Drosophila melanogaster: one gene and its partner. The protein of the gene in region 1 interacts with the protein of each later gene in a pairwise test. Each region holds a gene or a part of one and is shown in the gene's direction. Other genes may lie near its edges.

What was found.
Region 2: the proteins of bab1 (region 1) and CG17612 interact in a two-hybrid assay, tested with the Drosophila melanogaster proteins (one large-scale study listed by BioGRID).

Annotation. Positions count from the first base shown.
Region 1 is NT_037436.4:1,096,475-1,105,141, reverse strand, and holds the start of bab1 (bric a brac 1), read left to right. Parts: upstream 1-4,052; 5' UTR 4,053-4,505; coding exon 4,506-6,041; intron 6,042-8,667. UniProt on the Drosophila melanogaster protein: Probably acts as a transcriptional regulator. Required for the specification of the tarsal segment. Also involved in antenna development.
Region 2 is NT_033779.5:4,380,165-4,384,421, reverse strand, and holds CG17612 (uncharacterized protein), read left to right. Parts: upstream 1-1,686; 5' UTR 1,687-1,725; intron 1,726-1,760; exon of another isoform or gene 1,761-1,778; 5' UTR 1,779-1,782; coding exon 1,783-3,639; 3' UTR 3,640-3,700; downstream 3,701-4,257. Other genes in the region: Vps53 (vacuolar protein sorting 53), read left to right, coding at 1-337, 400-1,285.

The DNA of each region.
Region 1 (8,667 bases):
ATTAGTTGTGATTATTTTCTATGTTAGCATTTTTTGCTCTGCATCTATTCCTAGATCAGGCGTAGGACTAGTCCTCGTCCTCGTGCTCATCCTTTGGCAAATCCTCGTGCGCGTCCTCCGTCTCGTTCTCGTTCTCGTTCTCGTTCTCGGCCGGCTGTCTATCTGTTTGTGTCTGTGGCATGCACCCCTCTACCTGATCCCCGACTGCTCAATCGTGGCCGTCAGCCCCATGTGCCCCATCTGCCCCATTCTGGGGCATGGCATCCAGAGCCCCCTCCTCGATTCGTTTCCCAATCAGACAGCCAGCGGCATCGTTAGCAACGCAACGCAACGCAACGAAACGCGACTCTCGGAGCTCGCCTGCATTTCCAAGTTCCAAGTTTCGTTGCAACCCCGATGGTCAGCAGCTCGGACTTCCACGTCCACTCCTGCCGCCAATCCACCGACTCTAAAACCCTCACACCCCAAACCTTGCATGGTGACTCCCTTTTTAAGCCCTTTTTCATTGCCCATACGCCCTCAAGGGGGTTTTATTGCGCTAGGCATTTTTGCATATTTGAGGCATCATCGCTCATCGCTTTTGTGTGTAAGCCAACTTTCAGACATGGTCGAAGGTAAAACCAGCGGCAGGAGCAGGAAAGCAGCGAAGCAGCAGCTGAGGACGAAGAATCAGCAAAGGGCTAACCCTTGTGCCACCCATTTTCTGCATTCTCTAAGCTGCAACGTCGCCGTTGTCGCTGTTCCTGTTGCTGTTGCACTCTTCTATTTGGCGTTTTAATATGCAACATTTTTTCCCGCTGATCTCCCCGCCGGCGATGCCCCATCCCCATACTCTTTCCCCTCCCCAGTACCCATTTTACCCCTTATGTGTACGTTTGGTCACCTCCATGGTCGCAGCATTTCTCACTGAGAACAAAAAGCAGCGAGATCTCGTACCACATCACTTCTTTGGCTACATTAAAAATGTCGAATTTATTGTACTATTAAAAGGGCCTTCCTTTTTTGAAATAATTTCATAAATGCTCACTCTTTTCTTAACAATTAATACTAAGACTTTAAATTGCATTACCGCGCAGCTGAGATCAACTAAGTCAGTTACTGCATTGTAAGCTTATACATTTTGACAACCAGAAGCCTAGGTTTTCTGCCAGTGCATTCACACTCATGGCAACCGTTTTATTTGTTTGTTTGCTTGTTCGTTCACTCATGTGTGTGGGTCAGACGGCGACCTCTCACCCCCTCCGCAACTTTGTCTGTTTGGCTCAAATGTTGTCATCTTTCCCCGCACACACACTCCACCCCACAGAGCCACCGGCCCACCCATTTTTGGCCTTTCGCAGAGGCTTTCGTCGCTTTTTTGGACATCAGCATCCAGTGGATTCCATCCCACGAACCGGCGTCCACATCTCCACAGCTCCGATGTCCTTTCACGTCCGCGTCATCGTTTTGCTCGTCAGCGTCGTCGTCACCAGTTAAATACATAAATTTTCGTATAAACGCGTTCTGCAGTCGCGAGCCTAGCAGCCATTTCCCAATTTTCCATTTCCCAGCGCCCGCCCCCTTCCCTCTTTTCCACTTTATAGCGGGCAACACAACAGCAAACAACTTAGAGAATGCGTGATGCATTTTCGTGTTGCTGCGTTTGATCCAAATTCTGTTGGCTGCAATTCATTGGTTGCTATAAACACAGTGTTATCTAATTGCATATGGTTTTTAGGGGGAAAATAAGCAGAACTATCTGCAAAGGGTCCTAAGTGGTGCAAGCATTACCACATATAGTATATATAATATATATAGTATAATAGAAAAACAATCAGTTTTATTATTAATTTATCCAATACATAAAAACCATATTCAGTTACCTGAATTCATTCAAAATACTCAAAAGCCTAAAAAGCCCGAATAACTTATGAATTAATAGCACACACACTCATTAAATAGTAGAGATACAAAGTCCAAAACTATTTCAAGGGCTGGCCATTAGAGTAGGCAAAAGTATCACTTAGCGTCATTAAATCACCGGATACGAGTGAATGAAGGCATTAAAAGACTCATTCAGAGATGCCAGATGAATACTGAATATAATCCGATCGATGGATACCTGCCGATCGCGTATTTGTGCCCCTTTATCGCGATTCGCGATTCGATTCATGGCCGATGTTTATTATAATGTAACCAAAATGAAAAGCAGCCGCCATTTGCCAGTCACGAAAAAATTATGCATAATTTATGACTGGCTGTAGTGGACCCCTCTCGCCACCTCTCGCTCACTCACCTTGATATGTAGCTTCGTCCCGCTCGCACTTGCAAGAATTTATTATTTTTGCTAGATTTGTGTTTTTTTTTTATTTTATGTTTCGCATATTATAAATGCGCAAGGCAATAACAAAAATAATCATAAACACATACACGGAATCACCCACACAGAGGCAAAAAACCGAGGCTGACCAGTCTGAAACGATAGTGCCCCGCCCTCCGCCCCTTCGGCCACTCGGCACCCCCCCAAATGCCCATCACCACTACTCATGAAGAGAGCGAGAAAAACTAGTGGAAAACTGCAGGTGCAGCTGAAAGAAAGAGAAACGTCTCTTAGGCGAAAAGCGCCAGCCAACTCTCTCGCGAAAGAGAGAGAGCCAATTCGCCGCACATCTTGATTTCGCCTAAGCATTTGTTTACAATGCACGACTGGCAGCGACGTCGACTGCGAAGAGAGTTTTTCGTGATGGTTTTTCGAAGGGGGGGCTGTGTGGGGTACACCTCGAACGGAACTAATTAATGAAGCATCTTTCAGCCGAGTTTTGTTTCTCAGTCGGATGAGGTGGAATGCGTGAGGGAGAAAGAGTAATGGCTTGGGAAGAATAGAAAGAGAGAGGAATGTGCTTCGAAAGACCTAATGATCACTAATCTGCACTTCTCGCAAAATGCTCATACTACAAATGTTACAAGCAATTCATACATATGAATATCGATTTCCAATATTCTAAAAATAATTAAAATATTTTATTTAATAATTTTCAATTTTTTCAATTTTTTCACTTAAATTTAAGCTTTTAAAAGAACCCTAATAAGATATATAATATCCATCACCTAAATAATCGGCAAACTCAGCACTATTTTCGCCGCATTCCCAATTCCTGAAGACCACCTAGATGTGTTCCTCTATTTTGTGCCAGGGGTACTGGTCGATGGGGCTCGTCCACACCCTCTCCTGCCAAGCACCTCCGAAAAATATTAGGCCTAAGCTCGAATCCGCACTCGCACTCGCACTCACAATCGCAATCGCAATCGCAATCGCCGTCGCTCTCCGCTGCATTTTCGGGGCAACTTCCGTTTCCTCACGCACGCACACTTGCCACTTGCCACTTGCAGCGACGCATCCTTTTTACGCAACGGTAGTTGTGCGGCGGCAAAGCGCCAAAATTTTGGGGGTTGCAACGGCGAGAGGCCGAGAACGAGGACGAGGACGAGTTCGAGTGCGTCGAGCAGGCCGACGAAGGACGAAGGACGAAGGACGAGCGAAGCCGATTCCGATGTTGAGCTCGAGGAGAGCCAAAACGCAGCGCAGGAGCAAAGGAATGCGGTGCCGTTAGCCGGCGTTTTTTGGCGCCTACAGCTCGCCGTTTTCAGCCATTTTCAACGGGCTCGCCGCTGCTTCGGTCGTTGTCTCTGCCGTCGGTTCTCAGCCAAGCGGCGCTGCCTACGTCGCATTTTCCTTTCGCAGCGCCGGCAGAGCAGTTCGCGAACTATTCGCAACTTCGTCGCGAACTCAGTCGCAGCCTGAGAGCAACAACTACAAAGCAGTAGCAGTAGCAGTTGCTGCTGATGTTGCTGTTGCTGCCGCTTCTGCTGTTGCCGTTGCCGTTGCTGCAACATCAACGTTGCCCCTCAGCTTTCCACAGGCACAGGCACAGGCACTGCCACAGCCACAGCCACAGCCGCACATCCACATCCACATCCACGTCGTCGTGGGCCATCGTCGTCGTCGTGTGTTAAGTTTGTTTTGAGTTTTTCCGTATCAAAATGTGCAAAACGATTTCAGTCTAATTCAGACGCTCGTGCTGAGAAGACTTTTGGCCCTGTTTGTTGGCCAATACAGCCATAGAACACTGAAACCGAAACAGAAACAGAAACGGAACTGAAAGCACACACTGAATAACACTGGACACGACGACGAGAACCGAATCGAACTGAAAGAACGAGGCGGCGGGCTAATTGCCAAATGGCCACGTAGTGCGCGTAACGTAACGAATACGTTAAACACCCATACACACACGCCCAGACACACACACACACACACACACACACAGAGAGACAGAGGCACGCACACAGATACGCACATGTACATGCCCACTCTCAGTTGAGCGTCGTAATTGTCGCGGATTCTTTTGAATGCTTATTCCTTAAACGCTATGTGAAGAGCGAATCGCGTAACGAATAACGATCGCGTAACGTTTACGATCGCCGGTGATCCAACGATCAACGATCAACGATCAGCTGCAGACAAAATGGCGTCGGCGCAGGCGGAGACGAATGTCGGCTTGGCGTCCGAACAGGGACCAGTGGCTCAGAGGCAGCGCAAAGGGACGGGATCGGGCGCCGATTCGCCCAAGAGTAACAGAAGCTCGCCCACTCAGCAGGAGGAGAAGCGTATCAAAAGCGAGGATCGCACTTCACCAACTGGCGGGGCCAAGGACGAGGACAAGGAGAGTCAAGGTCATGCTGTAGCCGGAGGGGGAGGATCTTCGCCCGTCAGTTCGCCACAGGGCAGGAGTTCTTCGGTAGCCTCGCCCAGTTCCAGCTCCCAGCAATTCTGCCTGCGCTGGAACAACTATCAGACGAACCTGACCACCATCTTTGACCAGCTGCTCCAGAACGAGTGCTTCGTGGACGTGACCTTGGCATGCGATGGTCGGTCCATGAAGGCCCACAAGATGGTCCTGTCCGCCTGCTCGCCCTACTTCCAAACACTTCTGGCCGAAACGCCCTGCCAGCATCCCATTGTGATCATGCGGGACGTAAATTGGTCGGATCTCAAGGCCATTGTGGAGTTCATGTATCGCGGCGAGATCAACGTGAGCCAGGACCAGATAGGTCCTCTGCTCAGGATAGCTGAGATGTTGAAAGTGCGTGGTCTGGCGGATGTGACCCATATGGAGGCGGCCACGGCAGCAGCGGCTGCCGCTTCGTCGGAGAGAATGCCCTCCTCGCCCAAGGAGAGCACTTCAACTTCCAGAACTGAACACGACAGGGAACGGGAGGCCGAGGAGCTGCTGGCCTTCATGCAGCCCGAGAAGAAGCTACGCACTTCGGACTGGGATCCCGCTGAGCTGAGGCTCTCCCCACTGGAGCGGCAGCAGGGCAGGAATGTAAGAAAGCGCCGGTGGCCATCGGCGGACACAATATTCAATCCACCCGCACCACCCAGTCCACTGAGCAGCCTGATTGCGGCCGAAAGGATGGAGCTGGAGCAAAAGGAAAGAGAGAGACAGAGGGACTGTTCGCTGATGACACCCCCACCCAAACCACCAATGAGCAGTGGCTCCACAGTGGGAGCCACGAGGCGCCTGGAGACCGCCATCCACGCCCTGGACATGCCATCGCCGGCTGCCACGCCAGGACCTCTGTCCCGATCGTCGAGACCTCACTCGCAGAGCCCCCAGCAGCAGCAGGCACAGCAGCAGGGTCAGCTTCCTTTGCCCCTGCCCCTGCATCCGCACCATCACGCATCACCCGCCCCACATCCCTCCCAGACCGCCGGATCAGCCCACCACCCGGCATCGCCTGCTGGAGATTCCCGTTTTCCCCTCGGCCCAGCAGCCGCCATGGCCGCTGCCAGGGAACTGAGTGGCCTGGGACCAGGTCCGTCCGCCGAGCCACGCCTTCCGCCTCCACCGCCGCACCACCATGGCGGTGGTGGAGTGGGCGGCGGGGGAGTTGGAGGAGGAGGTGCAGGCGGAGTGGGTTCAGGCGGGGGATCCTCGCTCGCCGATGACTTGGAGATCAAGCCAGGGATCGCCGAGATGATCCGAGAGGAAGAAAGGGTGAGTGAATCTAAGCAACTTAAATTTCACGTTTATCTTTGTATTTCATCTTCCTTAAAGATAACTTTCGTACTTTTGTTTTCAATTATTCATATGTTGTGAATCGTTTTCTAAGTTAGTACATATGCCAGTTAAGAGAAGACTCTTCAATTCTGCAATTCCAATTCTACAAAAAGAGAGGCAGAGAGAGAGAGAGAGAGAAGCGCGCGGTGGAGCTCTCTTCTGCTGCTGCAGCGCTGTCACTGCGCTGTCGCAGCGCTGCTTCCGTCTATATCTCTCTCCCATTCATTATCCGATCTTTTGCCTCGGTTTGTTTTGATTCACGATTCGCGCGCCTTTCGGCGATCTTCAATCTTCGGCTGCGAATTCTGCCGGCGGCATTTCGCCTCGTGTCGTGACGTCACAGCGCGGAATGCGGAGCTACGGTCGCAGCGCTCTGTGGAACTCCCCACCCCACCGCCAGAGTGGCCATTGCCCGGAATGATTGACAGCATTCACGTGCTCCACGTTCCACGTTCCATTGTTTGCTCTCCTCGGCCGCTCTTTCTTCCCGCAGAGATTTGCTCCACATAGTATTTAGTACCCCTTCTCAGGTCAGATCCACCGATTCTTGGGTTCTCGGGGAGCAGGCACCGGAACGCTTCGGTGACCAAGAGGTGATTGAAATTCCTGTGGCCTGCGGTTGATTTCGATCTATGGAGCATTTTGTGACTTGTTGTGGTTCCCTAAGTGTGCTTCAATTAGGGCAACGACGGAATGGGTCTGCACAGAAAATATCTGGGGCTAAAATCGATAGATTCATTATTTGGATTTTTTATGTATTTTTCTCTTTCTGAGATTGAATCATTATGATTGCATAAAAATATATTTTAAATTTTGAAATGCTGATATTGAAAATTAAAAAAAAAATATTAAATATTGATCTTAAGATGCGCTTGCAATATACATATGAAGATATCTATAGTCCTAATGCGGCTTTGCTTCATAATTATATTTCAATAAGTTCACTCCAAACATTGTATCTGAATATTTACGACTATTAAAGTAAGCTGGTAGTTTTTGTCAGCTTAGCTTAGCGACCGGTTCGATTTGGACTGCGACTGCATTAGCACCGAGCTCACCGCAGAATTCGCACTTTAATAAAAATTTGTATTTATTTATCCAATAGACGTCGACGACGTTCACTCAAGAGCCCAGATCTCTGGCGATGGAGCTCCATTCACCATTCAGAGTCACATGCATTCGATGAGGAGTTGCCCGGTCCGGGATCAATCGGAATGCGATATTTGTTTGTCTGGGCGCAGAAGAGATCCCAGTGCGACTCCTTTTCTGGCCGGTTCTTGGCCATGTTCCATGTTCCGTGTTCCGTGTTTATTGTCGCTTTCGAGTGCATTAATCAAATAGCCAGCTATGCACACATGTGCATGTGCATTAGCCTGCTCATGTGCTCAATTTTTGAAGCCGTCTGTCTGTCGGTCTGTCGGTCTGTTTGCCTCTGATCGCCGCGGCGTTGGCTCGTTAGCGTCTCTTTTCAATAAATATTTTGTTTTTATGCTTTTTTAAATATTTTCCCAACTGACCGTTTGCTTTGCTTTTTATGTGCTTAGAAATTCTTTGGAAAATGCATCTGCATCTGCATCTGCATCTGAATCTGAATCCGCCGCGGCATCTGTATCTGCATCTTTGTTTGTTTGCCTGGGTATTAGTGTTGCCGGCCGTGTTTATGCTTTCCCGCTGTTTGCCTTTTCGATTGTTCTCCTCATTTCCCCATCACCGTCATATATTTCCCAACGTTTATTCACACATTTCATTTATTATTAAAAACTGATGCATTTTTCGTTGCTTCGCGGCAATCGCAGCAAGGCAACGCCACAGATACACCCGAAAAAAATGTGCAAACCTTTGTAATTTCGATATATACAAAATATGAGTATGAAATTCTGCCTAGCCAATGAGCATTATGTTTTGAAATTATAACTCCATTGTTTAGCACACATGAAAATATATCCACGTTCATTTCGATACAGGTATTCACTTTTCCACGTGTAAAAGTCAAATATTGATGGGCTGCATCCTCGGCCAGCGATTCACCAGCTTCTTTAATATTTATAATTCCTTCCATTTATATTTATATGTTTGTGTGGATGCACCTCGACTTACTCCACCTCCTCCGCTCCCCGCCATAAGCAGATAAAGCCGATAAGTGTCAGTCGTCGTGGTCCAGGGGTCTCAGTTCTGAATGTCTGGGCCCCTCGGTTTCTGGTGATTAATTGCACTTTTATTTGTCTGCCTTCGCCTTTGTTAAAAATCATTTTTTCTCCTTTACGCATTTTTTGTTCTTCGGTTTTTCATATTTTATTGCCAGCGCATTTAGATTGTGTATGCGAGTGAGCATCATTAGAGGTTGTATATTATTATTGGTTTCCTCTCCAGCTTCTCGATCAGTTCACTGAACTTTTTGCAGATCGTGGGCGCAGAGGAAGTTTTTATTAGGCCCAATAAGACGAATGAAAAACTTCTAAAGGGGAATGAATACTGAGTGATTTTATGAAAATCAACTATGTAGATTGGGATTATTATTCGTATTATTCTTGAAATTCCATCAACATCTTATGAAACATTGAAG
Region 2 (4,257 bases), on another chromosome or scaffold:
AATATCTACGGGAGTACGCCTCCAAAGTGCTCGAGGGCAGCACACCCAAGCTTGTGCCAGCCACCACTAGCAGCTCGATCGGTAAAAGTGTTTCGTTACTCACGCGCGATATGCAGAATCTATCAACGGCCGCTGGTCAGGTGTTTCACAATTTCCTCAAAGAGGGCGATACGCAGCGATTTGCAAGAGATGATCTGGTGCGCATTTGTTGCGTTCTGACCACGGGTGAGTACTGTTTGGAGACGGTCCAACAGCTGGAGGATAAACTGAAGGAAAAGGTGACTTCTGCATATGTCAGCAAGATTGACATGAGCGAGGAAAAGGATGTCTTTCATAGGTGAGTAAAAATTTTTGCTATCAAATAATCAAATAGTTTATTAATATTTGTAACTTTTCTAGAATCATTTCCAACTGCATCCAACTTTTGGTCCAAGATCTAGAGGCTGGCTGCGAAGCTTCGCTGCAGGCGATGGCCAAGGTGCAGTGGCAACACATTAACAACGTGGGCGACCAGAGCGCCTTCATCAGCAGCCTGTGCGGTAACTTTAAGCAGACAGTGCCTACCATCAGGGACACGCTAGCCAGTTCGCGGAAGTATTTCACCCAGTTCTGCCATCGCTTCGTCGCCGCCTTCATACCGAAGTTCATCAATGTGCTCTATCGCTGCAAACTAACCCTCTCGGATGGTTCCAACAATGTTCTGGGCTGCGAGCAACTCTTGTTGGACACCCATTCGCTAAAGACGGCTTTATTAGAGCTACCTTCCGTGGGATCGAGTGTGAACCGCAAGGCGCCCACCAGTTACACCAAAGTTGTGGTCAAGGACATGACTCGGGCCGAGATGATCATCAAGGTGGTGATGACGCCGGTACAGCCGCCGGCGCACTTCACTCAGCAAGTGCTTAAGCTGCTGCCAGACATTACCATTGCGGAGTACCAAAAGATTCTGGATATGAAGGCGGTCAAACGTGTGGATCAACTGCAACTGATTGATCTTTTCAAGCACACGGCATCTGCAGCGGCTGTGAGTGGCTTAATAGAGCCAACTACTGGAGAGGAGGAGACCCAAGGTGCAGAAACAGTAGTCGCAACTTCGGGGACCACAGACGATGCTGAAACCTCAGCAGTACCAACTGAAACAACAACGGCAACTTCCTCAACCCCCAAACGAGCCTTTATCTTCAGCGTGGGCAGCTTTACGGGAAGCGCAGATAAAAATGCCGATGGAAGTTCCCAGACGGGCATCAGAAAGCTGGAAAACCTACTGAAAAAGCGCTTCCCCTAGTTAATATACGGCTACATCTTGAGAAATCATTCCACTAAGTTAGCTTTAGTTTGACAATATCGGTTAATGATTAGTTGCTTAATTTATTAGGTCTATCCGGTTTATATGGTTGGTATGTTTTAAGACAGCTATGGAACATTCGATTTTGTATTATTCGCAATCCATCCGCCTATTTTAAATATTTTTTATTAAATGTCTGGCTTCTGTTAAACAAAATGGAAAACGTTTGTTTTTGTTTGCTATGGAAAGCACCTGGTATTTATTGCAAAGATAAAGTAAATACGTACATACATGAATTTGTAAAATTTGTTTCGTAAAGGGTATATTTTAGTTATAACAGTCGATTACAGCGTTTGATATCGATAAGCGCTCGATAACAATACGCTGAAAACAGGGTTGCCCGTTGTTGATAGCCCTGAAAATTGTAAACAAACGACTAGGTAAGCCACAAAAATCATTTTAACCAACGTTTTATACGATTAAATGATTCCAGGGCGATGGAGAACGTGTGTCAGTGCTGCAAGGTACGACCGGGCTTGTCGGTCAAACGCGGTGGCTCGCTTCCGAAAACCCTTTGCCTGCAGTGCCTGCATATGGACACATTTGGCACCAAGCATAAGGGACCAAGGCCCGAAACCCAAATTAACGACAAGGTTCACTTAGAAATGTCCATAAACGGCGAAGACGGCCTGCCGGAGCATCCTTTATATCCAGAAGTGCAACTGGTAGTTAAGGAGGAGGACGCTCTAATTAAGAAGAAGGTTATCGAGGAAAACCACATACATAATGAGGAGATCATAGGAGCGAGCAACATAGTAGACGTAGAGGTTCATGAGAATCATCGCGCAAATAACGACGTGATCCTCATACAGGATTCCTTCGCTGAGGAGGTAATTCTTGAGGATCATCCCGCAAATAACGACGTGATCATCATACAGGATTCCGTCGCTGAGGAGGAGCTCCCCGTAATTAAGGAGGAGGCTATTGAAGGGGAGGACTTGCAGGGAGAATACTTTATAATAACAGAATGTCTGGAAGAGCCAGCAATCGGAAGCTGTCGCGTTTGCTTGGAACAGTCTGACAACTTAACCAATATATTTGATGACGCGCATCAGTACGGAATTCCGATTGCCACGATACTCTCTCAGTACACAGGAATGCCAGTTGAGAAAGGCGATTCATTTTCTGAATATATCTGTGTAACTTGTCTGGATGTTGTGAAAAATGCATTCGATGATTTAGAGTCTAAAGAAAATACTATCCAGATGTACCGACAACCTAAAGAGGAGATCATTGACATAGATTCAATTCCAGTAAAAAACAAGCCAGTTGATTATGAAGTTACTGGGAAGCCACCTCACAGATGCCCTCAGTGCCCAAAGATATTCTTACTCGCCGCCAAACTTCAAGCTCACATTCGGACTCATAATGAAACGCGTACCACCGAGCCTCCACGGCTGAAATGTCCCATGTGTCCAAGTATATATATGAAACGCGGATGTCTTGAAGCCCATATGTGGATTCATAGGGCCTCTGATGAAAGAGAATCAGAGTTGGAGCCTCCGTACAGGTGCCCTCACTGTCCAAAACTGTTCCTTTACTCCAGCTTTCTTGAAATTCACATTCAGACACATGAGGATGTCTCTCAGAGACTGTCTCGGAAGTCATCGCACAAGTGCGCGCAGTGTGCAGATGTATTCTCAGACGTGTCCAGCCTTAAAGACCACGTAAAAATCCACGCGGGGGAACGAACGTTCAAATGTCCCCTCTGCCTGATGTCCTTTCAAGAAGAAAGTAACCTAAAGAGTCACGATTGTGCTCACACTCGTTTCAAGTGCCACAAGTGTTCCAAGTTTTTCGAAAGTCAGAATTATCTAGATTTTCACTTCAAGAAAAGTCACACGACGAAAGGTCCGTTCAAGTGCATAAAGTGCCAGCAAACTTTTCAAAAAAGAAACGGTCTTAAAGAACACATCAGTTCGCAGGTTTGCGTACAATTTCTCCGGAGTAAGTCTCCTGGACAAATATTCCCTTGTCCCAAATGCCCGAAAAAATTTAGCATAGAAGACAATTATCAAATGCACCACGCCACTCACAAGAAAGTAAAGACTGTTATCGAGAGGCACAACTGTACACAGTGCAAAAAGTCCTATCAAAATAAAAAACTTCTTACCAAGCACATTTTGAGTCACAACCGGTGTGTCCACTGCTCGATGTCCTTTACGAGCAAATATCTTCTGGAGCAGCACACTTGTTCCCAGAGTTACCAATTAAATGGGAGCAGGGGTCGCAAAAATCCTAATTTGAACTACAACGAATGCGAGGAGTCCAACGAAAGTGATTTGGAACCATAGCATAAATATTATAATATCTATATAAGAAAACCCCCACAAGCAAATAAACAGAACCAGTTTGAATTTGTATTTTGTTACTTCATTTATTGTATGTTTGACTTCTTAGCTTTTAAACATAAACTTATTTGACTATGTTGAAAGTTGGATTCTCATGTTTATGTTCGCGTTCATGGTACTAATGACTTATGCGTTCGCTTAGGCAACTAACTACGTGCTACAACTTAAACTAGGTTTGCGGTCGCTGCGGCTGCTCCGAATTTAACACTATTTACATGCAACTTATGGTCTAAGTGATTTTGAGCGTATGGTCTAGTTTGAAGATCTTTTGAAAGTGATCGCATCGCGCGCAATAATACAAATCTCTAAACAAAAGACTTAAGACACAAACTTAGGCGTACTTTAATGGATGAATTGTATGAGCTCTCAATGTATTTCTATGCGTAATTATGCTTTGGTTTAATTCCAGCACTGCAAAAACCTAAACAAATCGAATATGACTATGACGCAGTGGCCCAGCGGACGGCATTCCAAGGCCAGTTAGCGCCTGCCGGCCAACATCGCCCGAAGCTGCCGCTGAGACTGAACAGGCTAGACTACGCTAGGCTAGAGGGGATTTAC